Linked DNA regions of Schizosaccharomyces pombe. The protein of the gene in region 1 binds, or shares a complex with, the protein of each later gene. Each region holds a gene or a part of one and is shown in the gene's direction. Other genes may lie near its edges.

What was found.
Region 2: mrp2 (region 1) and nam9 share a complex: the UniProt entries of both Schizosaccharomyces pombe proteins name them as parts of the mitochondrial small ribosomal subunit.
Region 3: mrp2 (region 1) and rsm24 share a complex: the UniProt entries of both Schizosaccharomyces pombe proteins name them as parts of the mitochondrial small ribosomal subunit.
Region 4: mrp2 (region 1) and mrps16 share a complex: the UniProt entries of both Schizosaccharomyces pombe proteins name them as parts of the mitochondrial small ribosomal subunit.

What each region holds. Positions count from the first base shown.
Region 1 is NC_003424.3:2,503,393-2,511,381, reverse strand, and holds mrp2 (mitochondrial 37S ribosomal protein uS14m), read left to right. Parts: upstream 1-5,497; 5' UTR 5,498-5,537; coding exon 5,538-5,792; exon of another isoform or gene 5,793-5,841; coding exon 5,842-5,888; exon of another isoform or gene 5,889-5,929; coding exon 5,930-5,945; 3' UTR 5,946-6,117; downstream 6,118-7,989. Other genes in the region: SWI/SNF and RSC complex subunit Ssr2, read right to left, coding at 1-131; threonine aldolase Gly1, read left to right, coding at 2,339-3,469; mitotic spindle checkpoint WD repeat protein Bub3, read left to right, coding at 4,076-4,397, 4,443-5,083; AP-3 adaptor complex subunit Apl6, read right to left, coding at 6,118-7,374, 7,425-7,989. UniProt on the Schizosaccharomyces pombe protein: Component of the mitochondrial ribosome (mitoribosome), a dedicated translation machinery responsible for the synthesis of mitochondrial genome-encoded proteins, including at least some of the essential transmembrane subunits of the mitochondrial respiratory chain.
Region 2 is NC_003423.3:3,727,288-3,735,411, reverse strand, and holds nam9 (mitochondrial 37S ribosomal protein uS4m), read left to right. Parts: upstream 1-6,062; 5' UTR 6,063-6,123; coding exon 6,124-6,159; intron 6,160-6,212; coding exon 6,213-7,160; 3' UTR 7,161-7,217; downstream 7,218-8,124. Other genes in the region: SPOM_SPBC13G1.05 (folding protein), read right to left, coding at 1-620; abh1 (alpha-ketoglutarate-dependent dioxygenase), read left to right, coding at 1,650-2,418, 2,482-2,606; protein Pex14, read left to right, coding at 3,060-3,332, 3,393-3,980; mpg2 (mannose-1-phosphate guanyltransferase), read right to left, coding at 4,188-5,351, 5,452-5,491, 5,555-5,595; rns1 (putative RNA-binding protein), read left to right, coding at 7,344-7,535, 7,602-7,707, 7,755-8,080. UniProt on the Schizosaccharomyces pombe protein: Component of the mitochondrial ribosome (mitoribosome), a dedicated translation machinery responsible for the synthesis of mitochondrial genome-encoded proteins, including at least some of the essential transmembrane subunits of the mitochondrial respiratory chain.
Region 3 is NC_003424.3:560,061-568,141, forward strand, and holds rsm24 (mitochondrial 37S ribosomal protein mS35), read left to right. Parts: upstream 1-3,865; 5' UTR 3,866-4,109; coding exon 4,110-4,404; intron 4,405-4,413; exon of another isoform or gene 4,414-4,492; coding exon 4,493-4,974; 3' UTR 4,975-5,013; downstream 5,014-8,081. Other genes in the region: tryptophan-tRNA ligase Wrs1, read right to left, coding at 1-444; exosome subunit Rrp4, read right to left, coding at 918-1,907; phospholipase D Pld1, read right to left, coding at 5,108-8,081. UniProt on the Schizosaccharomyces pombe protein: Component of the mitochondrial ribosome (mitoribosome), a dedicated translation machinery responsible for the synthesis of mitochondrial genome-encoded proteins, including at least some of the essential transmembrane subunits of the mitochondrial respiratory chain.
Region 4 is NC_003423.3:553,834-562,255, forward strand, and holds mrps16 (mitochondrial ribosomal protein subunit S16), read left to right. Parts: upstream 1-1,991; 5' UTR 1,992-2,059; coding exon 2,060-2,136; exon of another isoform or gene 2,137-2,565; coding exon 2,566-2,746; intron 2,747-3,012; coding exon 3,013-3,045; 3' UTR 3,046-3,415; downstream 3,416-8,422. Other genes in the region: sre2 (membrane-tethered transcription factor), read right to left, coding at 1-291; osh42 (oxysterol binding protein), read right to left, coding at 4,502-5,392, 5,440-5,641, 6,170-6,195, 6,318-6,330, 6,398-6,459; Ca(2+) transporter Rsn1, read right to left, coding at 7,671-8,422. UniProt on the Schizosaccharomyces pombe protein: Component of the mitochondrial ribosome (mitoribosome), a dedicated translation machinery responsible for the synthesis of mitochondrial genome-encoded proteins, including at least some of the essential transmembrane subunits of the mitochondrial respiratory chain.

The sequences.
Region 1 (7,989 bases):
AAAAATTCGGGATTCGACCTTCGCTCAATATCGTGTATTTTCGACATGTCAAACCATCCTGCATAAGAAGGAACAATGATGGGATAAGTTTGTTCCACCAGAAAGGGTATGCGAACTTGATCGAGAGTCATCGTGAAGGTCTGATTTTTGAATAGTCCACTCACGAAAAAAATGTAATACCCACAAAATTAAGTTGTTTTTAAGTTGTAACACACTTGAAAAGTTAAGAAAGAGGCCTTAATAATAAAAATTATAAATACAAGAGAAATAGCACAATTGCCATTTAATAAATTAGAGCACTAGTTGTTGACAAGTCGTCCGGCTATACTCATTTACAAGTTACGGTGCATTTTGATAAACGTGTTTTAAGAAACAATAGCTTAACTACATATTAAGGCCATTTCGCTATATTTAATTCGACACGCTAATTATCACTATGTTTTTTCCTAATAAAAAGTTACGTTAGTTAATGGATACAACAAAAGAATTTGTAGTAATTGAATGAATATAAGGTGGGTCTATGGGTACGAATGGTAAATTGACGATCTTATATTATAAGCCAGAGAACATTTGAGACTGTTACACGCATATATCGAGGGCTATCCTTCTTAGAATATCACTCTACTTTATTCGGATAACTCAAGTTTTCAAGTCAAAAGAAAGCATCTAGAAAATGATTGTTCTTAGTTACATACTTTTGTCGAAAAGCTGAAACTGTCACAAATCTTCTGATTTTTTGTGAAAAAATCTAATTTCTATAAGAAAAAAACAAGGGACCAACCGGATTTGAACCAGTGACCTGGGGATCTGCAATCCCTCACTCTAACCACTGAGCTATGACCCCTTGCGACAATTGCAAGGCAAAAAATGAATTATAAGATCTTTTTACGATTTTATTAAGTTGAGCAATTAGAAATCAAAGTTTCCGCTAAGGCTCGAAAGAGAATCTTGCCAAGCTTTGAATATATTTATAAAGGTTGCTTTAAATAGCGCGAACGCAACTATCTGAACAATTTTTAACGGAAACCGCTTCAGCAGTAAGAAGAAAATATTTCTATTTTAGCATTCAAAATGCAGTTACTAAGTATGATTGATTTCAAGGCTTATTATAAACCGGCATTTTACAATGTACTTAGTAATTTATGGAGATGAGAACTCCTTAAAATATAGCTTCGTGATCCTTCAAATCCTATCCAACTCAATTTACTTGAAAAATTTGAAATTTCCGGCGCTCGTTAATTATCAAACTGAAAAACCAGCTAAAAGAATGCGGGCATTATTCACCGAATAGCCTCAAAGTATCTAACGATATCGATAAGTTATCTACAGGTGCAAAACTTCCACTGTTATAATTGTAACTTTTTCAAGCGGGCTTCGGTTAACAGAATTTTATAAACATGTACAAATTGCTCATTTCCTAAGCAATCCAGAATTTTGCCTTCACCGACAAATTACTGATGAGGATCACGGCGAAATGGCAAACTTGAAAAATGTAAATTGCATCTTGCTTCGAAAGCTATTTCACGCTAAATTAATAATTTTATAGTAAAAGAATAAACAATGCTGATCTCAAAATTTGTATACATTTGATAAAAAGGCATAATTTTGTTGGGTTCGATGCTTAGTAATAAAATTATAGTTCGAGAATATATGGTTACTATATGGCTAGAGAAAAATGATATTTTTTGATTATTTTGCGATTATATGTGTTGCCAAATTATAAAGCCTGCTATATCCTGGCGGATCTAATTTCTTACTCCGGGCGCTCACAACATTTTGGCAGTTTATTCCGTTATCCATTAAAGTGGTAAATTTTTTGGAATGGTTTGAAAGTTAACCTTAACCATCTCCCAGTTGTGGCACCAACACCAACAATTTGGTATTTTTGTATAATTATCAATTTATAAGTTTTATTTATAATTGATATTTTGAAAAAAAAGTACTAGTTACTTATCTTCAAACTGAAAAGGTTGTGATTTGCGATTTTCTTACTATTGTAAAAAGTCGCTTTTTTTTTATTTAAAAACGCCCAGATTTTAAAGAGAAAGTGCCTTCAACTGCATCTTTACTTTATCAAAAGATAATTTCTGGATAAGGAAAAAATTTAACTGTTAAATTTCGTTAAAGATTCTTTTGGTTTTGGGCTTCAACAGTCTAAAAAATTTTTTGTTTTTTTTCTCGTTGAACTGCTGATCTTCAACGATTTATTAGATCTGTAAAATAAATATATTTTTGTTGTTTATTTTACATTGAAAACAATTTTTGTGTCTTGCGGTCAAACTTAGCTTGCAGGTGTTTAAATTTAGTTTCGTCAATTCCTTTTTGATAAAAAAAAAATATGAGCGGATCCGTTACTTCTACGACTACCGAAACAAGATTATGCCCTTCCAACCAAGGGAGCGCTAAAAAGTATCGTCCTTGGAATGATTTCCGTAGTGACACTTTGACTGTTCCTACCGATGAAATGCGTCGCATCATGTATGAGGCCTCTGATGGTGATTGCGTTTATGAGGAAGATGAGGATACTAGAAAGTTGGAAGTTTATGTTGCAAAGTTGACTGGTAAGGAAGCTGCTTTGTTCGTAACATCTGGTACTCAAGGTAATCAGTTGTGTATTCGTAGTCATTTGCATCAACCTCCTCATAGTATCATTTGTGATGATCGCGCCCATATTTATAACTGGGAAGCGGGTGCAATTGGTTTGTTTACGCAAGCTATTGTTCGTCCTATTTCTCCAAAAAATAATGTATATATTACTGCCGAGGAAATTGAGAACAAGCTTATCCTGGGAAATGATATTCACTTTTCACCCACTGGGTTGATTTGTTTAGAAAATACTATTAAAGGTGCTGTCGTTCCATTGGATGAAGTGGCTCGTATATCTGGTTTAGCTAAGGCTCACAAGATCCCCCTGCATTGCGACGGTGCTCGCTTATGGGATGCTGCTGTTGCTTCCAACGTTTCAATTAAGGAGTACTGCTCTTACTTTGATTCCGTTAGTCTTTGCCTAAGCAAAGGTCTTGCGGCTCCTGTTGGTAGCATTATTGTGGGACCACGAGACTTTATTGCTAAAGCCAAATGGTTCCGTAAGGCTTATGGTGGTGGATTGAGACAATCTGGTATGCTTGCTGCTGCAGGATTATACTCAATTCAGCATAACTTTCCTTTGTTGAAGCAGGTCCATAAATATGCTATTGAAGTCGCCGAATACGCAGAATCTCTTGGAATTGAGCTTGAAGTTCCCACTCAAAGTAACATGGTGACATTGGCCAATATCAACGTTGCTATTCTTTGCGATGAAGCCAAAAAGTCTGGAATCATTTTAATGGGACCTCGTATCGTGTTTCATATTCAGATCACTCCTGATGCTGTCGAGATTTTGAAGAACGTTTTACGTCGCACAGTTGAGCGTCAAGCAGTTGAAACCCATATTGTTGCCAAACCTGGTGAGTTTTGTGTCGGCTATTAAGGGATTTTGCACATGTCACCTAAACTCTAAGCTTTATTTTCTATTTAAATCTTCTTTCTGCTTTATCAACTAGGCAAATTTTCTCGTCGACGCTCAAATTATTTTTACAGTAGTACATTCACTTGTCAAAGTTGACTGACATCTACTATTGCCTTTCAGTTTTTTGTATGAGTATGTAGAGTTATGTGCATTTCTTTCTTTTATGATTTTTTTTCATCGCTTTAGAGTGGTATTTAGTAGAACGTAGTTGTGTTGAAACGTATTCATAGTTATGTCTTATATAACGGTTGTTACATCATATTTAAACTGTCAGAATCAGCTCCTTTGCAATTTATTTTACACAGCTATTAGCAATTCGCTTCGCTTATCTTAGATACTTGTGAGGCACAGACTGTCAAAATTTGTTGAAAAGAAGCTGAAACAGTAATTTGCGCGTATGAAAACGTAAGTATTTATGTTTAACACCTAATATAATCGGCATCGTTGGAAATTCATCTTCGTAAAATTCGGTCAATTACCATCGAACTTCGACGTTGTCCTTTTGAAGCAACATTTAAAGGCCTATACCTCGCCAAACTCCTTTTTCATGTCATCTGTCAGTCTGCCATGAATTTCTCAAAAACATTACTAAAAAATTCAAAAGACGGGATTTCAAGTGTAATATTTTCACCCTCTGTCAAAAACGAACTAATTGCAGGGTGCTGGGATGGTAGCTTACTGCATTATCAAATCTCGGAAAATCCCGAACTTTTAGGGAAATACGATTTATCAAGTCCTATTCTTTCTTTAGAATATACAGATGAAAAAACTGCTTTAGTAGGAAATTTAGATGGGACAGTTACTACCCTCGATCTTAATACGCGAAACCATGAGTTTTTAGGAAACCACGGTAAGGGGGTATCGTGCATTTCTAAGTTGCGTTTGGAAAGTAAGATATATATTTTATTAGCCAGCTATTCTATTAACATTTTAGACTGTTTCATTAGTGGGTCTTGGGACAAATCATTTCGTGTTTGGGATGTTCGCGTAAAGCAACCTGTCGAGGGACAGGATATAGGAAAAAAAATTTTTGCAAGTAGCTCGAGAGATAATATATTGGTTCTAGGCTGTTCAGAAAGAGAAAATTTGGTGTACGATATTCGAAATTTAAAACTTCCATTTCAGCGACGTCCTTCTAGTTTTAAGTATATGACTCGAAGTGTTTGCTGTAACCAAAATTTTGAGGGATTCGTTTCTTCCAGCATTGAGGGAAGGACATCTGTTGAATATATTAACCCGTCTCAGGAAGCGCAAAGCAAAAATTTTACCTTTAAATGCCATCGGCAGATACAAAAGGACTACGATATTGTTTATCCAGTTAACGACCTAAAATTTCATCCGATTCATCAAACATTGGCAACTGCTGGGGGAGATGGCGTTGTTGCGTTTTGGGATATACAAGTCCGAAAACGATTAAGAGTGTTAAATCCTTCAAAGATCAATATATCATCTATTTCTTTTAATGTTGACGGAAGCATGCTTGCAATTGCCACTTGTGCTCAAGAAGAAGCCGCTGGTAATATCTATGTTCATGCTTTGGAATCCAACTTTGCAGCTCCAAAGTTAAAGTCATGAAATCGCTCATCAAAAAGCTTCATCCATGTAAAATCTTATGCAGATTCTTTTACTGCATACATATGAAATTTATATTATTTGAAGCACTCCTATTTAATGTTGTAAATGTTCAATATTTCCTCAGTGCTTCAAAGTGATAATTACGGTATTTATTATTTTTTATTCCACTATATATATTAAGTTAATAAGCAATTAATATAAACGCAAGACCATATTTATATAAAGAACGGGTTACGATTAAAAATACTTAATATAAAAACAATGTGACACTATTTGGTAGAAATTATCTAATTTACTTTGTTTCTCTTATTCACATTGTTTATAGTTATTAAAATAACTATAATTATACAGATCGCTAGCGCAGTTCGTAATTTATTTTGACTATTTCATCTACTGAGAATACACTCACAATTTGAACACAACAGAGAAGCCTTCTAAACCAGAAATAAAAAATATGAGGGCTTTGGGCCACCTGAAGCATAAAGCATTTCGTGATTTATTATGTAGGAGACTTTTTGCTGAACACGAAGTTGAACGTCAAAGCAATCTCTATATATATAGAAATCCTGAGCTACCTCTTCGGGTGCGTTTAGAAGCCAAAAAGCGGATTGAGGCTTTACCGACTAATGCACATCCTACAAAAATAAAAAATCGCTGTATTGAGACAGGTAGAGGCCGAGGTGTATTTCGTGCGTTTGGACTTGCAAGGGTACGATTATAATGTCATATAAATGCATTTTTGATGCTGACTATTTCAGTTTCCTTTTCGACTTAAAGCACTAGCTAATAAATTACCCGGAGTTCGGTAAGAATAAGCATTTTTACTTTTGTCACTAATCCATTCAGCAAGGCATCATGGTAATAATCGTTGTTTGTATTTCAATCCATGATAAGCGTTATTGAAATAAAAAGCTTTAATTATCTTCCGTGAATCCATCATGTTTATTATTAGCTAATATTTATTCGCCGTTTAAATGAAGTACAATTATTTGCATGATTACATTCCAAAACTGAATATTTACATTATCAATTGTTTATGATTGCCAATAGTTAGGTTCAGGTTCTGTGAGCGGCCTATCCATTATACTTTTAGTAGATATAGAACTGGTATTGTTGTTCTCTGTATCTTCATCAGGTGTACTATTTTTTTCGTTGTCTTCCTCTTGAGAAGTATCATCCGTTTCTTCATCTTCACTTTCACTGGTTGATGTTTCATATTCTCCTTCAGAACTTTCAGAAGTTTCACTAGCATAAAATTCTTCAAGCGTTTGCTGGCCAACAAATTTTGGACGGTTAATTGCGTTAGTATCTCCAAAATCACGTTTAAAGTTATCAGAAGATAATGCTTTCACACCCGGTGAATTGTTTGAATAAATATTTCCCGTATGAGGGTTTATTGGCAAAACATCCTTGATACCTTCTCGGACAGAATCAGGCGGTAAATCAGAGACATCAGCCCAGTTAGGGATTGGCTCATATCCCATCACGTCTTCATTCAAACATAAACTAGCGGTACCAATGCAGTAGTCCCGAGAAGCAATAATTTCTTTTTGACTATTCCCCTTGCTTTCCAATACGATGCGCCTAGTAAATTCAGAACTCGGTGTACTAGCTAGTTCTTTGTAAAACCTAGCTCTATCTCGTAAATCGTAACTCATGTCAAAGTGTATCAAAGATAAAACATAATTAAAAAGTAGTGACACGACATCATCTCTTGACTCTAAATCGTTTTGCTTCTCTTCAGAATGAGACAAAACATATAGTCTTACCGATAATTCGAGAATTTGATACTTCACTTCTAATGTCTCATCAGCAAAAGTTTTAACAGCAATGCGTAGCACATCAGGGACTAGTCGCGGTATGATTAGTATATGCTCCGAAATAAGCCATAGTGTAACGGATTTGGCCCGCGGTACTTCCAAAGTTTCATACGTTGCAGCTAAATACTGCAGATATATTTCTTTAGGATCATTATGAATGAGAAGCCGAAGTGAAGAGGCAGCTTCTGTCACGATAAGGCTATTATGTGATTTAAGTAACAGCAATAAAGTGTTAAGACAAGAGGGGGCCATAGAAATGTTAGCACTAGCAAAATCACCCAATGCCTTTACCGCCGTTGATGCAACAGAAGGATTCGGATGACTGTTAATGTAATACAATAATTCGGGAAGGATTTGCGATGAATTTTGAGCATCCAATAAACGCGACAATATGTTGATTTTTAAAAGGCACGTATCGTCACTGTCAGAAGCAATTAGAAAGAAACTCTTTATATGGTTTTTAAATAATTCCTAATATCATGTTAGAGTCGTTTAAATACAGGGCAATGATATATACTTACCGGTGTTTTATATACAATTTGAGAAATATATCGTAAAGTTGTCGTCCTAACAATTGGCTTTTCGAGCAAAAGCTGCAACAATGGTTCAACGATTAAGTGCATTTGATTTGAAGGAGCTAGATAGTAAAAAGCACGAGCACCTGCTATAATAGTACTCGGAAGAAGAGAGAAAAAGCAAGACTTTATTGACTCAAGTAGTTCCTTTAAATCTGAATGTGTTGAAGGAGTTGAAGGCTCGGGTAATGTAAGTCTGGCATATCTAACCAATGTTTTCAAAGCCACTACTTTGTCCCAGTCATTCATTTGCGGGAAAAGAGTACATATCCTATGATAATATGGATGAATAATTTCTAATTTCTCAGGACAAACGACTTCAAAAGTAAATAATGCAGCTGGGACTACAATAGGACTATTATCAGATAAAAGCGTTTTGATGTGCTCTTCCAATTGCGATTTATATGAAGGGTCAAGAGAATAGCACTTTGTAATTGCCAATGCCGCACTTTGGCGAACGCGATCAGCTGTATCAGTAATGCATTGCTGAATTGCTAAAAGAACGATTCCA
Region 2 (8,124 bases), on another chromosome or scaffold:
AAAGTTGAAAATAAACCCTGAAAAATGCAACGGCTTAGGGTAAAAAAAGATATTAAGACCCGAATGGGAAATAATGTAAAAATATAAAGGAAGCTGTCGACACTAACAAACCATCCAAATAAAAATGTCTTTTCAATTGCATATGGTGTAGCCAGAAAGTTTTCAACATGCTTTTCTTTAATAGGATTTGCGGGCACAGTATCATTAGCCAAAAGCTCAAAGCATATGTAATTCCAAAAGTTTTGAATTTGAAGTTTACTCGCCCGTAATCTGGAAATGGGTTTGTCTTGGTTGCCAGTTACTGTGGGCTGATCATTCGTTTTACTAAAGAATGTCGTAGAATAGGACCTAGTAATAGGAATAACGTTTTTCTTAGCACTAGTAGAAGCTGATCTTCTAGGATATTCACTTGAAGAACTTCGTTTTGTCAGTGCATATCGGGATTTCGGAAGAGGAACAGCAAGAACAGGCTCGTTTAGATCAGGTTCTTCTTTCTCTGGTATAACGGATTCATTGTCTTTTCCTCCGTCACGTTTATTTGGAAGAAAACGAGAGGTTAACGATGATTCATTTTCGGATTCAAGTGGGTCAGCTTGTCCAGGTGAGGTATTGCTACCCATGGTTTTTTAGCTTTTTTAGGTAAGGTTAAAAGGAGATTATGGGGATTTGGATTTGTGGAGATGTTTCAGCTAAGAAAATGTGTTGATTCCAGTGTAGTGAAGTTTTAATCGAAATAAGAACGATATTTCATGAATTGTGTAATAATCGTTCGTTTGTTTAGAACCAAAAACACATAATTTTATTTTCAAGTCTTGATACTGTTTCCGAGTCTCTTCAATTTACATTCAACCTTGACTGCCAGATACCAAAGTTATATAATCTTACCACAATGTTGGTTAAAGTAAGTACAGGCAAAGATACCAAAAAAGACACAAATCAGTTGAATTATTGCGAATAAAAATTATTTATTCTCTAAATAATGTTGATGTTGAATTGTTGACATAGGTTACTTTAAGATATTTTCAGACTGCGAGTTTAAAAACAAAATCGATTGACATCGGTATATTTTCTATTGGACCTACGTAAATGAATAAATTACTATAAAAAACATTTCATCTCATTCAAGTCTTAAACTGATCCCATCACTTTATTAAAAGTAAAATCTTCTTATTTTTTTCATTCACGACACTGTGTTTATACGAATTGTTTTATAGGGAATTTTGGCAGTGATTATAACTCAATTTGTAGTTACGTATAAAAGTGTTCTATTCTTTAACAACTTCGAATGTTTGCCTGTTTCTTCTATTTTTTGTATGATAAAATACCACTTTTCGGTAAAATGAATAGTATTGTTGGGTCTTGCTGCTTTAAAAGGGTTAACCATTTAAAGCGTATTTAAGAACTTCGCATTTAAAATATGCCAAAGTATATTAATTGAGAATATGTATAAAAGATGTAAAGGTAATAAATATTACGCATTATGGTAAAAATTGAATTAAGTTGTACTATGGTTCTTACTGTATTTAATTATCTATGACTGTCTGGGAGAAAAACCTTGCAAGTGGCCTAAACTTTTTCATTCAGTCTCTATTAAATGATCTGTCGATTTCTCCACATAAAGTTAGTTTATTGAAATGCTAGCGGGAAACATGGAACAGGCGAATGTTTTTCGTTTAGAAGAAAAACGCTATAAATGTCGTGCCGACACAATTCCTGACATGTCTGAGGTCCTTGATCCTAATGATCCCCAGTCTTTTGGATTTGAAGCTTTAGTTGAAATTAAACCTAGAGTTTTTTCTTTTCAAAAAGCTCCTGGATTATTAATTCTTAAAAACTATGTTTCATCGGAACTGCAAATGCAGCTGTTAAAATCTATAATGTTTACGCAAATTCAAGATCCTGAAAACAAGACCAACCTTTCACCATTTTATCAACTACCATTAGGTAATGATAGCATATGGCGCAGATATTACAATGGTGATGGAGAAAGTATCATTGACGGCCTTGGAGAAACTAAGCCTTTGACGGTTGACAGACTAGTTCATAAAAAGCTTCGATGGGTTACACTAGGTGAACAGTATGACTGGACGACGAAGGAGTATCCTGATCCTTCCAAATCTCCTGGGTTTCCCAAAGATTTAGGTGACTTTGTTGAAAAGGTTGTTAAAGAGAGCACAGATTTTTTACATTGGAAAGCTGAAGCTGCAATCGTAAATTTTTATTCTCCTGGTGACACATTGAGTGCACATATCGATGAATCTGAAGAGGATTTGACACTTCCATTAATTTCTCTCTCAATGGGTTTGGATTGCATATATTTGATCGGTACCGAGTCGAGGTCGGAAAAGCCTTCAGCTTTACGTTTACACAGTGGAGACGTTGTAATTATGACTGGAACTTCTAGAAAGGCTTTCCATGGTAAGCATTGTTCATTCAAATACCTCATTTATAGTCAATTGATTGCTTACTAACTTACCGCAGCTGTTCCTAAGATTATACCCAACTCTACGCCTAATTACCTATTGACTGGAAACAAGGCTTGGGATGGATGGATTTCAAGAAAGCGAGTGAACTTCAATGTTAGACAGGTTAGGCCTTCTAGATAATGTAAATATGGTTATTTTTAATAAAATAGAAATTGTTTTTAGGGCTTAGGAATGATTGATACCATAATTACATATATATCATGTGCTTACTTGTTTTGTCAATATTTTGTTCCTTCTATTGAACTTTCGAAAAATAATTTTTTTATTTAACACTGTATTAAACCACCAAACAATAAGAAACAATTTTTTCTTTAATTTGTCAGTTAATAACTTTCGGCGTAATATAACCAGAACAATTCATTAGCGTACTTTCACAAATTAATTTGACAAATTAAACAATTGTGTAATCCCATTCTTAAAAAAACATAAACCTCGACATTTCCAAGCTTGTTTAGAGAATTATCGTGAAATTACTATCTTGCAGTCCGGAGTTTACTCAATATATTTCAGTTGCTTATTTCCATACAACTACTAACTAGCGAATTCGGTACAAAGCATTTGTCAATTTGAAAAATGAGGGAGGATTTGTTAAGAAACTCCGTTGAATTTTTAAGAGAAAAAACTGTATTAGATGCTCCTGATGTGAAAAAGATTGAATTTCTAAAATCCAAAGGTTTAACTGCCGAAGAAATTCAAGAAGCATTCAAGCTAGCAAAAAATCCGCTATTCCCTTCTTATCCTCGATTTGAAAACACTAGTAATTTTGTTTCAAGAGATTGGAGAGATTGGTTTATTATGGGCGTTATTTCGACTGGATTTGCATGGTCGGCGTATTCATTAGTAAAGGTACGTTCAAAAAACTGAACATTTAAAATATTCGTGCTGTTTTAACATAATTAAATTTAGAAATACATAGCACCAATGTTTCGCGCACCATCTCAAAACGCTTATGAAGCTGATAAAAACGCTTTGGATGCTAAATTTCTAGAAGCTCATAAAATACTCGAAAATTTAGATGAACAAACAAGAAAGCTTTCCGAGAGAACTGAAAAACAGCAAGATGAATTGGACATTGCGTTAGATGATTTAGAAGAGACGTTGAATACTTTGAAGCGTACGTCCGAAAACCGAGATCGTGAAATAGCTAGAATCTCACAAGATGTATATACCATGAGTACTATTACTTTACCACAAAGTCTTGAGCAAATTAAGAAATCTCAAGAAGAAGCATTACAAAACCTTTCGAGAGAAATTAGCTCTCTACGATGTTTACAAACTGATTCAAAAAAAGACGACACTTTCGCTACCACATCAAACTCTTCGATACCAGTATTAGAGAATCCTTTAGATACTTCAGAAGGTTTTCAAACTAAAAAGGTTGGTACTGCCTCCCTTCCAGATTGGCAAATATCAATGCATAACGAGGCTTCTAAAAACATTGATTTCAATGATATTGATCCCGCAGAGTCTTACGTTGCAGAAGATGCTTATTGACAGTAATAAAACAAATCACTAATAACAATTAAATTCAGGATTTTTTCTAGAATAATACTTAATGTCATTTAACTGGTCTGTCAAGACGCATCTTAATCATTTAACAATCTGCATTCTGCATCAGCTAATAAATGTATATTATATAATAAAGGAGAGTCAAGTAGATATAATAAAAAGCAAGTTTGCTGCAAGGTTAAATGTAGTATCTTACATCACAATCTCACCAACCAAACCAACCTTTATTTCTTTATGAGGAAGTACAAGGCAATTTTGAACGCGTACTTCATCATGGACTATACAATCGGCGCCCATAACAGTAATAGCTTGGACTTTAACGCTGTTACGCATAATCGTAGTGGAGTGCTGGCTTGGAAGAGTTGGAGAACCTTCGACTCGAGACCATTTACCAATCTTGCAATGGCGGGAAAGAATGGAATGTAAAACAACAGCATTGGCAGAAATTTCGCAATCCTCTTGAATAATTGAGTTTCGAATACGTGCGCCATCCTCGATGCGAACACGAGCACCAATTGAAACATTGGGTCCAATCTTTGCACCTTTGCTAACAATAGCATTAGGATGAATAAAAACCGGCTGAATGATCTCAGCCTCAGTGTCGGGTTTTGGAAGAGTACCATCATGATATGCCTTTTGTAAATACAAGGAATTAGCAGGAACAGCAGAGCCAGCGGTTTTTATTTGACGCCAGAACTCAGGAGTATTATAAGCATAAATGGCTTTAGAGGAATCTGAGCACAATGGAGCAAGCACATCGGTCTCCAAACTGAGGTAGTCTTCCATTCCTTCATCCAAGGACCTGAGTTGCTTCTCGACCTCCTCAAGTCTACGCTCGTACGCTTTTTTGATTTCATCGAATATAGAGGCATCAAAGATATAAATACCACATGAAATAATATTTGAAAGATAGGAGCTTGGCTTATCAACATAATGAAGTACACGCCCAGTACTTGGTTCCTCTACAAGGCAACCGAAGTTAGAAGCATCTTCTTTACTAACCTTAGTAGCCATTAAAGTAACTAAAGCTTTCTTCTCGTGATGAACGTTTAACAATTCTTGTAAGGGAAAACTGCAACACACATCCGCATGCATAACAAAAACATTAGAAGTATGTCCTTTAAGGATTTGATCACGGAAATGGTATAAGCCGCCACCAGTTCCTAAGCAGTTGTATTCACGGAGATACTTGATACGATTGAAACTGGGGAAATGCGAAGCTACTTCGTTGATAAAATCTTTGAAAACGCTTTCATCGTAGAAACCAACCAAAAAGACATCTTTAACACTTTCAATCTTGGATAAAGCCGCCAAATGATGGTAAATCATTTCTCGTCCTCCAATTTTAAACAAAGGCTAATTTAGTTAGCAAAATAGCTCTTATGTTTCAAATGCAACTAGAAAGTAAAACTGGATTACGTATTTTACCAACATATAAATTCTAAATAAGACGTACTTTAGGGACATCAAACGAAAGAGGGCGGAATCGGGTACCACTGCAAAGTAATTAGTTACTGATATTCACGCGTTTAATAGACTTATTTTTCGTTGGTACGTACCGAGATGGACCCCCGACCAGAATGACAGCAGAGGAAATCATAATAGCAATTTAATACTAAAAAATCAATAATGAGTATCAAAATCACCAAAAACGAAAGAGATATACGCCTCTTGAAACTTGGTGTGTGGTTCTGTGCAAGTCCTGTCCAGCTCTCCTTTGTTTAATAAGGAAGGTAGCGCTATGAGCTAACTTCTGCCAGTTCATATTTGCACTTAATAGCCTGGCTGCAGAAGATAATACTCTATGTAACAATGAAATACTAATGTAAATCAATTTAGTTCAAAAACCCATGATCTAAAAATTGTGCTGCAGGCTGAGGCACTTTGCCAGCCGTGAGGAACTTAATGCTCATCATCAGCTGTTTTGCAGAAAATAGTAAAGCACCTTCTAGCTTTGGTACAAATTATAATGCATTAAAACTTAAATAAATAAAATTTACTAATTGAATTTTCGAGTAAAAGTAGCCTTTTTAAAAATTTGTTCTCTTTAATCACCTTTATGAATTTACCATCAACTTCACGCACTACGCTGGAAGATTGGACTCTCGTGACAAAGACTTAATTGCTCATGAAGGGGAAATTTAGGTTCTCTTTAAAGCGCGGTGTATGTTATATATGAAATTATTGATTTTTTCGCTTTTATTAATACATATCTAGCTTTTGCGTCCGTCGTGGAACAAATACAATATATACAACATTGCAAGAAAACAACTACCTGCTCTGAATAATAGAACTTTATATCAAAAAAAATGGAATGCGAAGAAGGAAACAAGGTCTTATCATGGTCCTCAATTACGCGAATATCAACTGAAAAATGCCTTCCGCCCAAAATTGGAGGGGGTTATTTCTTCCTTAGATAATAAGCTTCCCATCCCTTTTATGAATCAGACTTATGCATTTTTGGAATCCCGTTTAGACATGTCTATTCATCGAGCGTTATTTGCGTCTAGCGCTTTACAGGCTCGCCAACTGGTGCTTCATGGAAAAGTGCACGTAAACGGAAAACCTGAACGCCGTGCCTATCGTCAACTCTTACCTGGTGATTTAGTAACTGTTGATCAAAAATCAGTAATGAATTGTGTTTCTGCCTCTAGTAACAATACCCCTTCTATACAGGATGGGAAGCAAACTGAACAGGTGTCCTCTAAGGATGGAGAAAATGAAAAAAAAAAGGATAATGATGATGATTTATTTGAACAGACTTCTAATGGAAAGTTGCCCTCTATCAATGAAACAATTTCCAACTTTGTTCCTAAACCGTTTATGTCACTAATGGCATTTATCCCTGCTTATTTAGAAGTTTGCTTCCGCACTTGTTCCTTTGTTTATGTGCGTGATCCAGTTGCTCGTCCTGGCTTAACGGAAGTTCCTTCTCCATTTCCTGAAGACTTGCACGCTTTAGCCTATACATACTATATCAGAAGTCGTAATATGCGGCAAGGAGCAGCTAGATGTCAGGCCAGACGGCTTATTCCGCAGAAAGTACGCGATGCATCATTTTATCAAGGACCTCCTGAATTATATAAAAAACGAAATGTTTCTCCCAAAGAAGCATTCTCTCATCGGTATCCAGTTCGTCAAGGAAAGTTGACGAAACTCGTATAAATCGAATAAATGAACTCCTCTCAAAAGTTTAGTAATAAAATATAAAACATTCTCAATTATGCTTTTTGTAATACTATGTTGATTTCCACTTTTGTTTTCCTGCTCTATGAAGTAACTGCCCTGTCTACTGCTATCCACGTAACCAAATCTTATACACATACAAGAACTGGCACATCTTTTTTCATGTACCAAAAGGAGGCCTTTTATCGTGGACGTAGCTCAACAAGACAATTTAACAATACCCGATCTCCATCTGGACGTTCAGCGTCGCGTTCTTCCAATTTCTCACATCGGTCTAGTAGTCGTGATTCTTTTTCCTCGAATAGATCTTACTCGAGTTCGCTTTCCAGATCTCCAGAAGAACCATTGCGAACAGTACGTTTTCCATGTATAATTAGTTATTTAAGGCATACTAATCGTTTCTAATACGATGCAAAATAGATTCTTGTGGAAAATTTGACGCGTAATGTCACTAAAGAACATATAGCAGAAATATTTGGGATTTATGGACTAATTGATCATATTTTCATGCCAATTTATAAAAAATGTGAGTGAGCTTTTATTTTTTATGAATTACACCCACTAACTTTGCAGCTGAATTGAATAAAGGGTATTGCTACATAGAATACGTATACCATGACCAGGCCGCAAACGCCGTCGATAAGATGAACAACGCTGAGCTTGATGGTGAGGAGTTGTTTGTATCGATAAAACGTTTTCCTTTTGAGTCACTACACAAAAACCATAAGCACTACGAAAACTCGTATCGACCATCAAGGTCACAAAACAATTCACATTACAACGATAAATCGTTTCATCGCTCCAGATATTCTCGGGCACGTAGCCGATCTCCAGGTTCCAATATATCTGAATATTCTGATCAATCACCCCCCTATCACTCCTATAGACATCGTCCTTAATCCCGCAAATTGTGGCCTACTGAATAAAAAAGAAAAGTGAAAAC
Region 3 (8,081 bases), 1.9 Mb from region 1:
CTTAGCATTCTCACGAGCAAATCGTTGGCAATCCTCTAAGGAAACACCTTGCTTAAACAAGAACTTCTCATCGTCCGTTAACTGGATGACCAATGGCACTTGAAAAACATCCTGAAGCCACTTGCAAAACATAAAAGGAATCATATGGCCTAAATGCATGCTGTCACTACTTGGTCCTCTACCTGTATACAAATAGAAAGGTTTCTTCTGCTCATAGCGGTCCAAAATCATATCAAAATCACGATGGGAGAAGAAAGCACCTCTACGAAGTAATAAATGAGGCTTCTTTCCAGTTAGCTTTTCGAAGCGCTCAAGTTGTTCAGGAGTAATTTTCCTAGTGCCAAATTGAACGATTAAGCGCTCATAATCGATTCCTTTCTCTTCACCATCGACTATAGAGCCTTTTACATCCCAGGGCGTCACAATTTGTTCCTCAACAGACATTTTTCCTCTTCAAAAAGAAACTGTTCAAGGCGCACTACGTTCGCAGAAAATTTTGTTGCTTGGCGGAGGAAGTGGTAAATCAGACAAAAGCGATGACTAACTTATCGCCAACAAATTCGGTAACTTCATAATTTCTTTAAAAAATTTCTGTTAGTACTGCTGATTCCTTTATAAAAATGTATTCATTATAACTGTTTCTGGGTGCTTAAATTAGTTGAGATAGAGCGTTCGAAAAACTAGCGCAGTTGTAGTGTCTCTAATTAAAGCCGATACGAAAACTTAAATAAGAATTTGAATAAATGTATTACAAAAAATATGATTAAATATAAACTGATATATTAGATTAGTGGGACCGCTGCCATCAATAGTAAAGCTATCATAAACAACTTTTGCAAACTCACAATTCTATTTTTATATATAAACCCATGTCCAGCACAAGTGTTGTTTTTTAGAGACAGAAAAGCTTTTCAAAGTCACTGCATTGCTTCCATTGCTATCTGATCCATATTTTTAGGAACAGTCAAATCTTGAAGGTTTGAGAAAACAAGAGATGATTCATAAAAATTGGTGATTGAGGCTTGAGTCAGAGGGAGAGAGCGACTAGCCAACCCTTTAATGCAAATGGATACACGAGATATATTTAATCTGGTATACCCATCAATCTCATCGTTTTCGTTAGAATATATGGATTCTGAGGCTTCCTCCTCCAATCTGGTAATACTCACTGACGAATGTTGATTTTCATTATGTTTAGAAACCCATACATATCCATTTACACTAAGAATAATGTCGACTCCACCTGCTAGAGCATAAGCATGTGATTTTGATCGAACGACCAACGCAGGAGGAACCTTAAGAAAAACACCATTTCTGAGTTTTCCATATTTTAAAGAACGTGTATGAATTGATACAGAACCATCGGAAAAGTACTGTTGAACTTCCGCAACTAAGAGATCGCCTTCTTGGAAAAAGCTACGCATCTGAAGCTCATCAGTCTCTAGTTTTCGTCTTTGAATGCCACCAGGAAGATTAATAGAAGAGAGCATAAGCACAGCATTCTGTTTGGCACCAATATCCACTTTCCAGCGTTTTGGTTGGACTTCAGCAATTTTCCCAATGATTAAATCACCAATTTCGGGAACGTACTTAGAACGAAGAGGTTTCACGGATATCAATTTATTGACCCTTTGTACAGATCCCGCAACAGATGCATATATTCCTCCATCCTCGAAATACGTTCCATGACCGCGCATAAATTGAGGATCATCAGTCACTAGTTGTCCGGGTGTAACTAAATTTTGATGTATCGATTTATCAAATTCCTCTAAAACGTCTTCTCCGTCTACAAGACCCATCTGTTCATCCTCCATTATTTCATCCTCCATTTCAGTCATGGAAACATCGTTTACGATGTCAGCTTCACTAGAAACATAGAATTCTTCAGGTTTTAAAATTGTAACCATTTTTAAGTATTTCGTTTGAATTCGACAAAAGAAGATACTGGGACAAACCACGACTTAGAATTCTTAGAAACTACAAAACTAATAACTACCCTTTCCACAAATCAAGATTAGTCGGGTTATGTTGGATAATTAGCTATAGCCACTAAATTTAAACCAAATCTGGTCTCCTGTAATGCTTTTACACTAGTGTTTATGCAAAAGTGAAATTTACACTGATTCATAAAGCTAAAGAATTTTAAACCGCTAAAGTAACGCGTTGCTCCTCGTAAAATATCTAAAGGTAAAATGATGATGGGTTAGTAAATTTGAAATATTCGATGGATTAAATAAGAAGCTGGGGAAAAATTATGCAAAAACTATTAATAAGAAGAAAGAATTGTCATTAAAATCAAATTGTATACATTAGTCAACCTTGGTCAGAAGAGGTCTGATGAAAGCTATGAATCAACGAAGAAAAAATGGAAATAATGCTTTATTCTTCAATAATTATCAATATTCAAACTTAATAAACGGCTAAGTTTACAAATTATAAAGCCATTAACACTTTCAACACTTTTTTAAATTTTATTTTATCAGGGCAGATTTACGATACTTCATGAATTGTTAATAGTCAATTAATTTCAACAAAATTTTTAATTAATTATTTTAAATTATCCATGTCAATTCCATCACAATGTCAAGCCAAATTGTATTAAAGCAATATTGCAATGGAATAAATTAATAAAATATCGTTGTCTGAAGATTTCTGTAATAGGTTATTTATTCAATTATTTTATAATTTTTTTTTTTTTTTTTTTTTTTTTACAAATGACTCATGTAAACATTAACAGTCTAATATTACTGTCTACAGATTGTTATATGCATTGACTTCCATTCGTGTTGAGTACTCTAAAATACTCAGCTCCTTAACATTTTTGCAAAGAACAAGTTATGTGGGTCAAGGTATTTAGTTTTTACTTAACTTAAAAGTAATACAATACAAACATTGTAAACATCACGGTTAAAGAACCCAATTAAGCACTATTTCACGTTCATAATAATATAGTTAAATAAAAAATACAGATTTTTTAAATCAAGTTCAATAAAAGATTATTTCGTAAAAAATTTTTTATTTTACTTTGATAGGCTTGAATTAACACATACAGGGAATAATAATGACTAGACGCTGAGCAGATGACTTGCCATCACTCTGTTTACCCCATTTTCTTAAAAACATTGCGTCTTTTTCTTATATTTAAATCATTCTTAAATGGAGTTTCCTGTTTTCTCATGAAACTTACAATTGAATCGAACTTCTTTTAATTATTTACTAAATAGCGCTAGTAATGAAAGTGCAATATTATCTAGCTGCGCATTGTAGTATCTTGTTTGACTTCTGTGAGTTTTCATTGTGATCGGTAATATCATATTATATATAGGTGTGATGTGGGTAGCAATTTGTTGTAAGTATTTATACATGGGTTACGTTGTTACCTGCCATTAATTAACATATAAACGAACCTGTTTCTGTTCAGATGTACTCTGTTTATAATCTTTTGGAGTAAACATGATCAAACACAAACAAGTACTCAAAAGAATAGTTATCAGCAATTATTAGTAAACGAATCTTAAATCTATCCTAACAGATGACATATAGTGATACGCAGCGTAACGTAGTGTAGTCTTGCTTACGAAAATCAAAATATAAGGATAACTAACACACTTTTTAAACAGCGAATGCCAAAAAAGGATGGGAAGCAAGTGCTATTAAATTCCTAAGAAAAAAAAAAGCTTGAAAGTATTATTAGGTGTTTTTATTCAATAGATGTTATAAATGCAATTGAGTAGAATCGATGCTATTTTACGTTACTAACCTTCATTCCAGTCTATTATGTGGTTTTTACTGGTTCTAACTACTAAGATTTAGTGTGTTATAATTATATACAACGAAGTCAAGTCAAGGACAACAATGTTTATACATTCTTCACTATCCCCTTCAAGTACCTTTTTGTAGCTTATTTAATTGTTTTGAGCATTTGGATTGTTAAATTTTAGAAAAAAAGTTTTTGTTAGATTCAGATTTCCATTTATAACGGCCACTCTTTTCGTTTCAAAGAAAATATAAAATCCGGTATCATACACTACTGCGCATTCGTTAAATGTGGTTTATTTTTTTTTATAATACAAATATTACATATATTTAGTGTTTTGGGTGGTTATAAAATGGCTTTTAATCCCCTTTTATCTTTATTGAAAGCAGATGCCATATTCCTCGGGCAACTTTCCAAATCAAGCTTTTGTGCTACTAGTAGAGCTTTCTCTGTTTTCTATTTTACAAGATTTAAGCGAAGTGCTTATGTGTCAGCGCCTTTTGGAATCGAGCCTCATGACGAGAAGGAATTGAAAACAATTGATGATAACGTCCATTCCAATAATCTATCATGGCAGAAAATACAAGAGCACGAGGTCATACGTGAATTGTATAGGAAAGCTGCTTATGAGCTTCCTGGACTTACGCGTAAGTTTACTGGGTAGTTTTACCTTAGGAATTCTATTTCACAATCACTTTAATATGCTTAATGTTCCATTTTCTCTGACAATTATAGCTTACACACAGTCTTTTAAAAAGCCTGCTGATAGCCAGATCTTTAGGTTTGAATCTGATGTCCAAATGTCTTCGTTTGAGAAAATGAATCCGAAGGTCGTTGTTACATTTAAAGTTACGAATATTCCTTTGCTAGAGGAGAAACAACGACATGTATTACGATTATTGGTTGGACCAAGATATAATCCGGAGGAGGATTTAGTCAGAATATCTTCCGACAAGTATTCTTCTGCACTACAAAATAAATATCATCTTATAAAGATATTAACTTCGCTCATTGAAGAATCGAAGAGAAATGCTGAAAAATTTTCACATGTCCCATTGAATACTGGCCATTGGAAATACAAGAAGTGTGATAAACGGATGCCACAGGAATGGCTCGCAGACGCAACTACACTCACTTCTAAAAAGAAAACAACGATTGGCAAGCAATCACATAATACAGTACTTGAACGAGAATCGATAGCAACTACAGATGAATAATATGAAAGGAAAGTTTGTTTAAGTTACTATTAAAATTAACGAGTCTATAATGTAAGCTAATATTGAAGGAATTAATCCTTCTCATTACTATATTAAGATGAAATAAAACTGTAGTATAAAAGGTACTGTTTCTCTAATCATAAATTTCTAACGGAGGGATTTTGTCAATACTACTGAGCCAATTTCTTGCGTTTGATTCGGTAGACATCCATTTTAATGGAAGTTCTACCAACTGTCCCCGAATGCCACGTAGTAAGTCGTAAACTACACGTTTGTCAGGAACTTGTAAACCATTATTAGTACGGGTTTTTGGTTTCTCTGTCTTCGAATCTTCACTTGCACTCGTGTTACCACTACCTTGGGAACCAGCCTTTGGATTTTTTGGATCATTCTCTGACTTTTCATGAGTTTCGTGTAGATTTGACAACTCCTCCTGACGCCAGCGGGCTTGCTCTTCTTTAAAGCGTTTTCCATATTTTTTCCACTCATTATATGATTCCCACGTTAGCATCTCGTCATCCGGTACACATCGAAATATGTGCCGATAAATAGTAGTATTGTTTGAAGCCACTTTAGACCATATGTCTTCAAAAAATTCATCGCAGACGGGGTCCTCAAAGCTTGAAGCGTCAAATTTAGGAATTGTTTCTCCACTAATAGGATTCACCTCAAGCAATGGTATATCATCATAAAACACAAGTCCATTTCCACAGTGTGGACGACTGGGTTCAGGCACTAGATGATCAGGGTCTTTAAGTACCATTGGACGTTGATCCTCCCCACATTGAGAGAACTTGGAAAGTTCATATAATGAGTCCTCCTTTGTTTTCAGTGATAAGGGGATGCCGCCTACTAGGGCGTTGGCTATAACATCAGGCCCTTTTTTAGACTTCTCGTAGTTCTTTTCAAACTCGACCTTGTCCTTTTGAGTTTTAATATTGAATTCAATCGAAGAAGGAATTAAACTGACACGTTGATCTAGTTTCTTCATACTCTTTTCAGCTTTTCGTAAGATGTCTGGAGTAGTGGTAAATTGACTCTGAGAACGATATTTCATTTTCAACTCTTCAGCAGTGTAAGCAGAACCATTAATGGCATTGCCTTCATCAGGAGTCCAGACTTCTACACGTTTCCACTCTGTATCGCGATCCAAGCCATCCATGTTGTATTCTCGTTGTTCAAGCACATCGGTCTCTAAACCTAAGTGCTCCCTCATAAGTCGTTTCCGAAGAGTGTGTGCAAATTTTCCAACTTTATAGGGCTTACCGTCCATCTTGGAGTCAATGGTTAGAGTATCTCTAATTACCGCAGCAATTTCAGAATCGCGGTTACCAAGCAAAGAACGTTCATTAATGTTTGCGGAACCAATGACCGCAACTCGATCGTCTGCAATAAGAATTTTAGCATGAACATAGATCATTTCAGTCACAAGTTCATGGTTTTCTCCCAAATGGGCCCAACCGCGCAAACCATAAAAACGCAAGTACTTGCTGCCATCAATACCCTTGGCATTTAACCTTCCAAATATTGAATGTTCACCATGGCAAATGCTGCGATATTGACATTCCACAATCAACCTAAGACTACCGCCCTCTTGTAAATCTATCTGACCTTCAAAACCGGGAAGCAACGGAATCATTATAACACCACGCCATTTTTCATTATTTTTGTGAGCCCTTATAATCCTCTCAACTAAAGCATCTCCAACACGATTTTCTATCGTCGTACCTTCACAAGTGGTAGAGGTTACGAAAAATTGATTTTCAATATAAATAAAATGTTCGCTCTTTTCTATGCACGTAACATAAGCATTCTGAATACTTTGCTCAACAGTATCAACTAAACCTAAAGACCATAGTCCGGCAGATCTCAGGACTTGTACTTCGCAGGTACCGGTCAATTGGCTATCAGTTAATTGGTCTGTGGTAAAATCAGGAGGAGGAATTAGCAAAGGTGTTTTCCGGGCAGGCTTCTTGCATTGAATAAGATAATTCCATCGCTGAACAAAGTGTCGCGCAGCATCTCGAGCAGGTTGACCAATGATGCACATAGAGACATCATGCCAACCCATACGAGGTACCGCCAATCGGTCATACATATCTTTGTAAGGTTCAGTAAGGTCAAAAAAATCATGAACGCGAGCATTTGAATAATCTTTTCCCCTCCAAGTTTGCTCGCATAAACCAGTTTTATCAGCAACAGGCTTGTCATCATACAGAATATGTTGAGGAGTATCATACCTGCCGAAACAAAGATCAATACCACCAATAAAAGTTATAGCATCATCCACTACCACAAGCTTCTCATGATGAGCCCAAAAGAGTGCGTTTTGGCGAAAGTGAGAAGGAGAGCGGATAACATAAATATTCGGATGTAGAGATTGAAGATGTTCCTTAGTATGGAATGAGTCTATGGGTATGGTAGCGTCAATATTGCGATAGATCATTATGTACACCATGACTCCTTCATGTGCCTTTTCATTAAGGATACGATCAATTCTCCACTTGTGAGCCATACTATAAGGTCGTCGCATTTGCAATTCAGGACTTAACCACCATCCATGAATCATAATACAGCGCTTTGCATTCTTTATAGCCCTGCTAACATTCCACATATGATCCCTTGCATCTACCATCCATTGAACAGCAACGTTAGTTCTAACAGGTGCAAAGCTGTCGAACCTATGTATTTCACACCAAGCAGTTAATCCTTGAGCAACTTGAACGCTGTTGATAAATTGTTGCAACCAACGACCACTTCGCACTGATAATTTCATTACTTTCTGCCGATTTTTAATTTTAAAAGAGTGATGGGAAAGACGAATTTTTTCATTAGTGTCTTTTGAATGTGCCTTTCGAAAGTTTTTACGCGTAATTTCAAAGTCGACATCCCATATAAATACATCTGCTGGCTGCATTGAAAGCATATTATCACACAATATTATACAACTTTCAGAAACGATTATCCAAAACGGTTGACTCCTAGTTTTCATCATAGTAGTATTACAGCACAACATATATTGAGTAGGAGAATAATTTCGTTTCAAGGTCGCGAATCCTTCTTTGCCATGAAAAGTTCCGGCTCCAGCTAAGTACAATCCTAATGAA
Region 4 (8,422 bases), on another chromosome or scaffold:
GTTAAGATTGAAGGCAGTAGAAGCGTCCATTGAATTGGAATTGACTTGATATGGATACGCAGACGCCATAGAGTAAGATCGTGGTATACCACGAGTTCCTACAGAGGGCACGTGGCTTATAGGGTATGAAGAAGATGCTGAAGACGAAACTATGGATGGGTGCTTGAAATCCATGATATTTGAGCCATCCACATAACTGGATGGATCAGCGTTTTCAGTGGGATTGGAAATCGCAGTGTTTTCGAGTTGACGATGAATATCCTTGAGCGACGAGTGTTGGGAAGGACACATAGCGAAGCGAATACCAAACAGTCGTTTTGGATATGAGTCAAGGAGAACGAAAGGTATTTATAGGTATTTAAAGAATGAAAAGTTTCCAAGACAAAAAGAGAAAGATTAAAAAAAGAAAAAAGAAAAAACACTCAGTAGTAATGGAGAGAATTCGAATTTCCGAACTTCTTGTTGATGAAACGCTAACCGCAAAAAAAAATTTAACAATACACCGTTTAATAAACGAGAAATTAGAAGAAAAGCGGGATTATTTCAAAAAAGGAGAGGAAGCGAAAACTAAAGGAAAGATAGAATGGGTGGAAATTGTAGTAGGAAAGCAAATAAAATTGGAACCCAAGAAAACGCCTATAGTAGTTGTCTTTGAGCGAAGGAAAGTATAAAACAACAAAAAATTAGGTTTTTCCTCTTTCAAGTTGAATTATTATGAAACCGGGTTGAACAGGAATCTTCAAGGTAAGCGACCCCAAGAACGCACTCGTTCACGAACTAACCAAGTAAACGAGACAAGATGAACAAGCTTGACAGGATAAACAATGAAAGAAGAAAAACTTATAAAAACTAAATATATAAAGGGGAATATAGTAAAAATTGGCCCCCAAGCTGCGTTATAAGGAATTGACAGCAATTATATGATGACGGAGAAGAAAGGAGTAGAAACTGACGCAAGGCAGGATGTAAACGTCAAATCTTCAGGTGTTCCGATATGTAATGAGTCTTAAAACTGCTACTAGCCTAAAACCTAGCACCGTTCATCCACAAAGCGATGTCCAAAGAAACGTTTCAATCCGATGTTCCTATTTTGCTTGAATCCGTCGACACAACACACTGACTTGACAGTAACCGGGAGTACGATGGCAAAAATCAATGTCAGTGGATCCAGCAATTCGTAACAACACCAAAAGAATGGGCAATTCAGAACAAGATCAAAATGCTAACTAAAAGAAGCCTAGGTGTTGGGAAATCTCAAAATACCAATTAACCGAACTCCCCAAACAACGATTCGTACGAAAGCAACAAAAACCCTCTAAGATTCAATCAATAGCTTTCTTGATCACTAGAAATTTTCAAGAACGGATGGAGTTAAATATTCAACAGGGATGCGCAATCTACGCGAGTCTTAAGTTATGTTTTGCTGTCGCTAAGTAGAATTTATGGGAGGGAGGAAAAAGCTAAAAGTAGACGAAGCCGCTTAAGCTAAGGAATGTCTATAGCGATTAACATTACGTTATAAGGATTGCGTGGTGAAAAGAAGGTTGGCAAACTACGCATTACATGAGTAACGTTCGTTTATGGTATCTCGTATACGCATTCTACAATCGCTTACAGTATTCCTGTTTAGCAAACTCGATACAAGCAAAGCATACCTTGAACAACGTGGAGAATGCTCGCTTTGTAGTATTCGTGTTACCGTAATTCGTGCTGTATCTCACTCCGGGGGTAGTGAATATGATCAATTCACACTGCTTATAAAGAGAAATAGAGTCAGCAGGAAGTAGAAAGATAAATGGAAGGAAAAGAACGTAATTTCTATCCCAGAAAACGTTTGAAATGATCTTTTGAAATTATGTTTTGTTTGTAAGTATGAACGAAAAGCAAGGCACAACGCTATTTTATAAACAACGGAGTGCACAATACGATACGTCCATCTGCTTTCCATCCTTGATACCTGCATTGTCTTCGTGTTTACTCAAGTTGCTCTTAACCATACTCCTACCACCAAGTGGGAAAGACGGGATTTGTAGGACTCGTTGAAAACCGGCTCTTCTCAATGGTAGTAAAAATTCGTTTGGCGCGTCATGGCGTCAGAAATAGACCTTTTTACCATATCGTAGTTGCGAATGCATGGTAAGTAGGATGAAAACATACCTAGACGGTTGTTTCGTGTTTTACAACACTTGTAGCGGTTCACGTAAAGGGGAAAGTTTTTGTACAGGATTTAGTAAGGGAGATGGCTTGATGTGGGTTATGAAAGAATGGAAGATAAAATGCTAAAAGACTGCTTTTTTTTGACGGTTCCTTTGGCTCTAAATTGCGATCTTTTTTAGAAGCTTTAGTTTTCAGGTATTCCTGGATGCTCTCATCTATTTAATCTAGTCTTTCTACATAGTATTCAAAATGCCAAGGACACCAACCACAATTTTTCTTATTAATTGACTATTTATTGTGGTTTGGCCCCCTTGGCCTCTATTAACTGTTTACATATCACCTGTACATCCTTTTTTTTCTCCTTCATCCATTCCTGTCTTTTGGTTCGACTTTGTTAACTCAATATAGGAAAGCACCTCAAGCCAAACCTATCGAAACCATCGGCACTTTTGATCCCATCCCTAAGAAGATTGATTCTCAGGACTCCATTCCTCGTATAAAAGATATCCAGCTCAACGTTGAACGTTTTAAATATTGGATAAGTGTAGGAGCACAACCATCCGACACCGTCCGCTCTTTAGCTGAAAAGGTATGCCCAAGCTCTCTTTATCTATTTTTATGACTAGTCCAAATTCGTTAAACTTTCTTTCAACTCTCTTTTTTGACTAAAATTTTCGACCCGCTTGCGATATACCGCTCGGGTGATTTTTCTCATGTTCCCTAACTGCCCGGCTTTCCGAAATGGAGTGTAGGATCTCATCCCTGTTTTCGTTACGATTTGGCTACTAATTTACTTGTTTTACTTCTTTCTATCAATCTATCAATTCTTACTAACGTTACTTTTTTCACTTTTAGTTCCAGTTGCTTCCTAAAAAACCCGTTTCTTGAAACTCACTATAATCGTTATTGCTCAAGTCATGACATTTCTTTTTTACGACCACTTCACAATGTCTAGATATCTTTAACACATTTTTTATTTTTTTTTACACTTTATCTCTGTGATCACGCTAATTACCTCTCTCAACTAAATTTCATAATTTTTGACCGATTTTACCCTTCCGTACTGTTTTTTTAAAACCACGTTTTTTGGCTGAGTGCGATATTTGTTTTCTTTACGATTCTTTTTATTACAATATCACCTTTTTTTTTTTAATTCCTTCTCCACATTATCGTTAGCGTAGTGATATCTTAATTTCTAAATTTTTTAAAGTGTCTATCTATCTGAGGTTATGCGCTAGTTGAAAGCGCTCATAATTTGATGCTATCCATTTGTAATTACTTGTTGCTTTGTACTTAAAATTGTTTGGTAATGAGAAATCTTGGTACCAATATTTTGCCTTTGTAATTTTTAGCTTTTGCGTTTATGGTTAAAATGGATCTTCACTTTATACTGAAACTTCATTTCGTTTACTGATGTTATACCCTTATTTTTTTAGAAACAAATTAACAGCTTCATTTCAAATATTTAGGTTAATATCGGTGTATCTATTATTGCTTAGATTTTTGGACTTTCCGTTCGGAAACGGCAATGCGCTTTGTTGCTTTCCTGATTTCCTCATTCGTTTAATTGGAACTGAACACGTTCATTAATAGCCAATTGCAATAGTTGTACAATTCTAACAAATCATTCCTGTACTTCCGTTGAATTTATAAAAGACTTGTCTCAAAGGATTTAAAATCGTTCAACAATGAATATTAACAACTTAATCGTTTGTAACAAAATATTATAAATGGTGAACTAGCCTTATAAGCTAATTTATTAACTGTACCAGAAGCAATTTACTTTGGTATTATTACCATATTTCATCAACCAGTCCAACTCTACACCACTACATTTATTCATGCACCGAACAGTGTAATTTTCAATTAATGCATTAAATACAAGCTAAACATCACAAACCAAATAGTATGTAAAAATAAACTTGAAAAAGAAAGCGAGAAATCACTTAATGAAAAAAAAAAATCTACTACCAAATCTCGAAATGAGTATAGATCAAATTGCAATGCTTTTTCCCTGACATGCATATGTGTAACCGACATATAAGTAATAAACTAGTATACCGCATAGATAATCTAAATGAAAAGTGCTGATTTCGTACTAAAAGCCAACCGTTAAAAGAACCTTTAGTAAAATCGTTGATCGTAAAACTTCAGTTGAACGTTTAAAGAGCGAAAGATACCTATATACTTTCAAGCATTATTTTAAGCCCTGATTGCACAACCAAGAGAGCTTTTGGGCCAATCCTCCCAAAAGTAGAAAAAAGGACACTGTTAAGGACGGAAAACTATAGCAGCCCGAAAAGCACACATAAATTTAAGAAACAAAAATATAAGTAACACAAATTTATTCCATCCGTTTGACAGGTTGTTCTCCTGCTGGCAATGAAGGATGAGTGTCACCAATGTAAATCCAGAAGCCTGGTTCAATAACTTCTAAAACAGCTTGGGCTAAAGCATTCCTGGCATCGCTATCATGCTCTTCCCATTTGAAGTATCTTCTGGCCCAAACTGCTCCCTCTGCTTCTTCTTTCTTACGCATATCACGTTGTGATTGTTCGATTGTAGACTTTTTCGAGCTTACAATATCATAATTACCACTGGCTAAGGCAGCGGACACTTCTTTCCAAACATTTCGAGACTCCCAGTCTCCCATTTCTGATTCAGGCTTGACGGTAATAGGAGTAGCTTCAAGACTAGGGATGCTTAAGAAAAAAATGGTACTTTTCAGACTAGGAATAGTCAATTTAGATTCGCCAGTCCATACACCTTCAACAATATAATCAGGATCTTCATTTTTCTCAAAGATAGTAGCCTTGAAAGAATTCTTGGTACCTCTGAAGTAACCTCGGCCGGAATAATCGATCTTTGTAATATAATTTGTGTTGCTAACAATATAAGTCGAACCGTACAATTCAATATAAGGTGCCATAAACCACAGTCCTTCAAGGGAGATATTGGGCAGAGTTATATAATATGTCTCATTATACTTTTCAAGATGAACACGAAGCTGGCCGAGTTGGTTGACGTATACAGTTCGTCCTGAAAATCCACTTCTGTATTTATTATGCGTATCAACGGTGATACCGGCTTCCTTACAAACCACATGAGCAGCTGATTCAGGTCCGTGATGGGATACTTGCTCGGCAGTAAGCTCCACTTTACCCTTGCTAGAATCCCATGACCCATAAAAAAGCTCTCCCAAAATAGGGTTCAACGGTTTCTTTTCAGTACCATACTGAAATTTTGGTTAACATTACATGATAAAATTTTATAAAGACGTACGTTCTTATTCCGGGATGCGTATTCACGACTAAGACCAGTTATGTACCACTTGAGAACAGCCAGCATACGTTCTTTAGGAGTGGGAAAATCGACAATTGTTACGAATAGCTCAGGAAACTCAAACCAATAAGACATGTATTCGAGCAAAGATGTCCCTGATAAAATGAAAGAAGGAGCTGAAAGTGTGGACAAGTCACCAGTACTGTGAAGTAAAGTTAGTATTCAAATACAGATTAAAAAGAGCAATCGACATGAGAAAAAGACAATTCCTCTCTGAAAAACAAAAAGAAAAAAACTAGAAAGTTATGAGATGGAAAATTAAGAAATGGCGCTGGAAAGTCCTCTTTAATGTTAGACTCGAAAGGACAATAGCACATATCAATATGAAAGCTAAAGGCATGACAAGCAAAGAACATGAGTAAAAAACAATTTAACAACAGCAAAAATAAGCACTTGTCCATATTTTGACGCGTTATTTCATTATCTAAACCAGCCAGCCATTTGAAAGCCGGGCAAATTGCTGGAAATAAGACAATTATAAGCAATTTTACGCTTAAAAAAAGTTCCTTTTATATTTCAAATTTTTACAAAAATCACATAGATTTGAATGAAACTAAAAATCGAATGAACATTTCCCGTTGGAAAAGAATGCATCGTGTTCAAATTTACCTTTTTTTTTTCTCAAGATACCATATTTCCAATTTTGTTTCTTTTAACTGAATATACTTACAATGTAGCCAAGTTCTTGATGAACCCCTTTTTTGAAGAAAAAGTAAGTAAAATGTTACAATGTCAAAGAAAAAAGTAAGATTCCTTGCATAAGGCTGAAAGCAGATTGATTATGCCTTCAATCTTATAGGACTCAGTACAATTCATACCATCCAAGTGCTCCTATCATAAGGAAAAAACATGTTAGTAAAATGTAAACATTTGATTAAAGAACATATGTGGTACTTACTTAGAAATGGGTTCATTACCAGATTGCACAGTCTCTTCCATTTGTTCTGATGTTTCCGACATTGTCGATCGTGTAATTAAATGCTATCGTGTTTGGTAAAAGAATAAAATCGACAGACCATGGATTGGGCGATGTTGGTTCGACTGCTCTTGCTTAACGCAGTCCTACTATTCTCCTACGTCAAAATAGTGTCATTTTACAAAGGGTACACCATTCTGCACTGTAATTATACTGCAGTAATGACTTTATTATTTAAATTATTTAACGTGGTTTATCGTGGTATATAAAAGCTGCAAAATGGTCAGTAGAAGGCACGAAGGATCGTAAATAAATGACTATTTATGAGCAAGCAAAATACATACGAAGCTTTTCTTATTTGATTAGCATTCTTTAATACATTATGTATAATATTTTTTACATAGAAAGGTTGTATGCCTTGCATATTTATACCTAGCAGATTCGAAACTGCCAGCTGGTAGACGCATGTTTTTACGACTTTTTAACATAATCGATGTTTGTTGAAACTAATTGTTTATTTAATTATTTAAACAGTTAAAGTACAAAAAAACTTCAAGCGCGCCTCCATTTCTAACAAACTACTACTCATTATTGTCAAAGCAATCTATTCAAATGTACCAAACTATCTGTTATAATTACAAGGTTATGGTGGGAAAAGTAATCTTGTTGGGAAGAATTGATTTTAACATAAAGTTAGCTATTGCCGAACGATAAATCACATGTTCGTTTCAACAAAAATGACATTTGTTGCAAAGGTATAAAAAGTTGTGCGAAATAAGAAAAGACAAAAAACATGATCTTATGACAAGAAATGTTAAAAAAAAAAAAAAAAAAAAAAAAAATTGGGATGGGATGAAAAGAAAGGTATGCAGACATAAACAACAATAAGCAAAGGGAAAATATAAGGAGAACGAAAGAAAACAACGCAAAAGAGATAACCAAACAGATGGCTATCAAATTAATGAATGAATCAAACGCAAAATAATCAAGTAAACACCACAACAAAATCTAGGTGATTCATCTTCATTTAAAAAGGTCGGAGAAGAGACCTAAAGAATACAAGCACACTTAAATTCTTCTCAAGAGCTCACAAATAAGAAACGGAGCATAGAAAACAAATGTTAAGCAAAACAAAATCGGTTGAGAATTAAGGAAATAAAAAGTTTTCAAATATGTATCTTTGCCAAAGTAAATTTGAACAGTTATAAAGTTTTTGTACAAAAGCTCGAATTCCAAGGAAAAGTTTAAGTTACCATTAAAAAATGTGGTAATATTTATCATAATGTTCGGAGACATTGATTGGTGTAATTTCCGTACTTTGGGATTCAAGAGTTTCTGGTATACTAATTTGAGAATCTTGGGTAATAGATTCTGTTAAAGGCAGCTCCTCCTCATTCAATCTAGCTCTTAAAGAAACACCACGGCTACGAGTATAAGATCGGGACAAATTTTTCTTGAGTTGCTGAACTTGTTGCTGATCATGCACTTCTTTGGCTGTATCCACATTATCAATATCAACAAAATCAACGTTTTCTAATGGTTCTTCCTCACCACGTAAGTGCTTCTCAGAAGCATCATCAGAGTCAGTAGCAAAATCAAACTTGTTATGTGTTTCCGTACGTCCGCTGTAAAACAAGGGAAGAAGTGCACGAGCATCAGATCGAACCATCGGCACGAGCAATGGGGCATAGGTGGATGGATGACCAAAGCACATTTCACTTTCACTAATCTCATTTTCCAAGGGCTCCACAACCTTCATGTATGGATCCTCAATCATGTAATGAGATTTTGGATCAAGAGCAAACATGCACCATATCTTAAAGGCAATGGCAAAGGAAAAGTTTGGAATTATGCAATAAGCGCGAACACGACCTCCCTGTACCCACAAGCATAAAAACAGAATTATGTTTGCTAATTCTAATCCCAGTAAAATACGATTCACCACTGGGCGCCAATACCCACCACCACTTTCGGTTGAGGAATTTGATACGTACATCAAAATATATT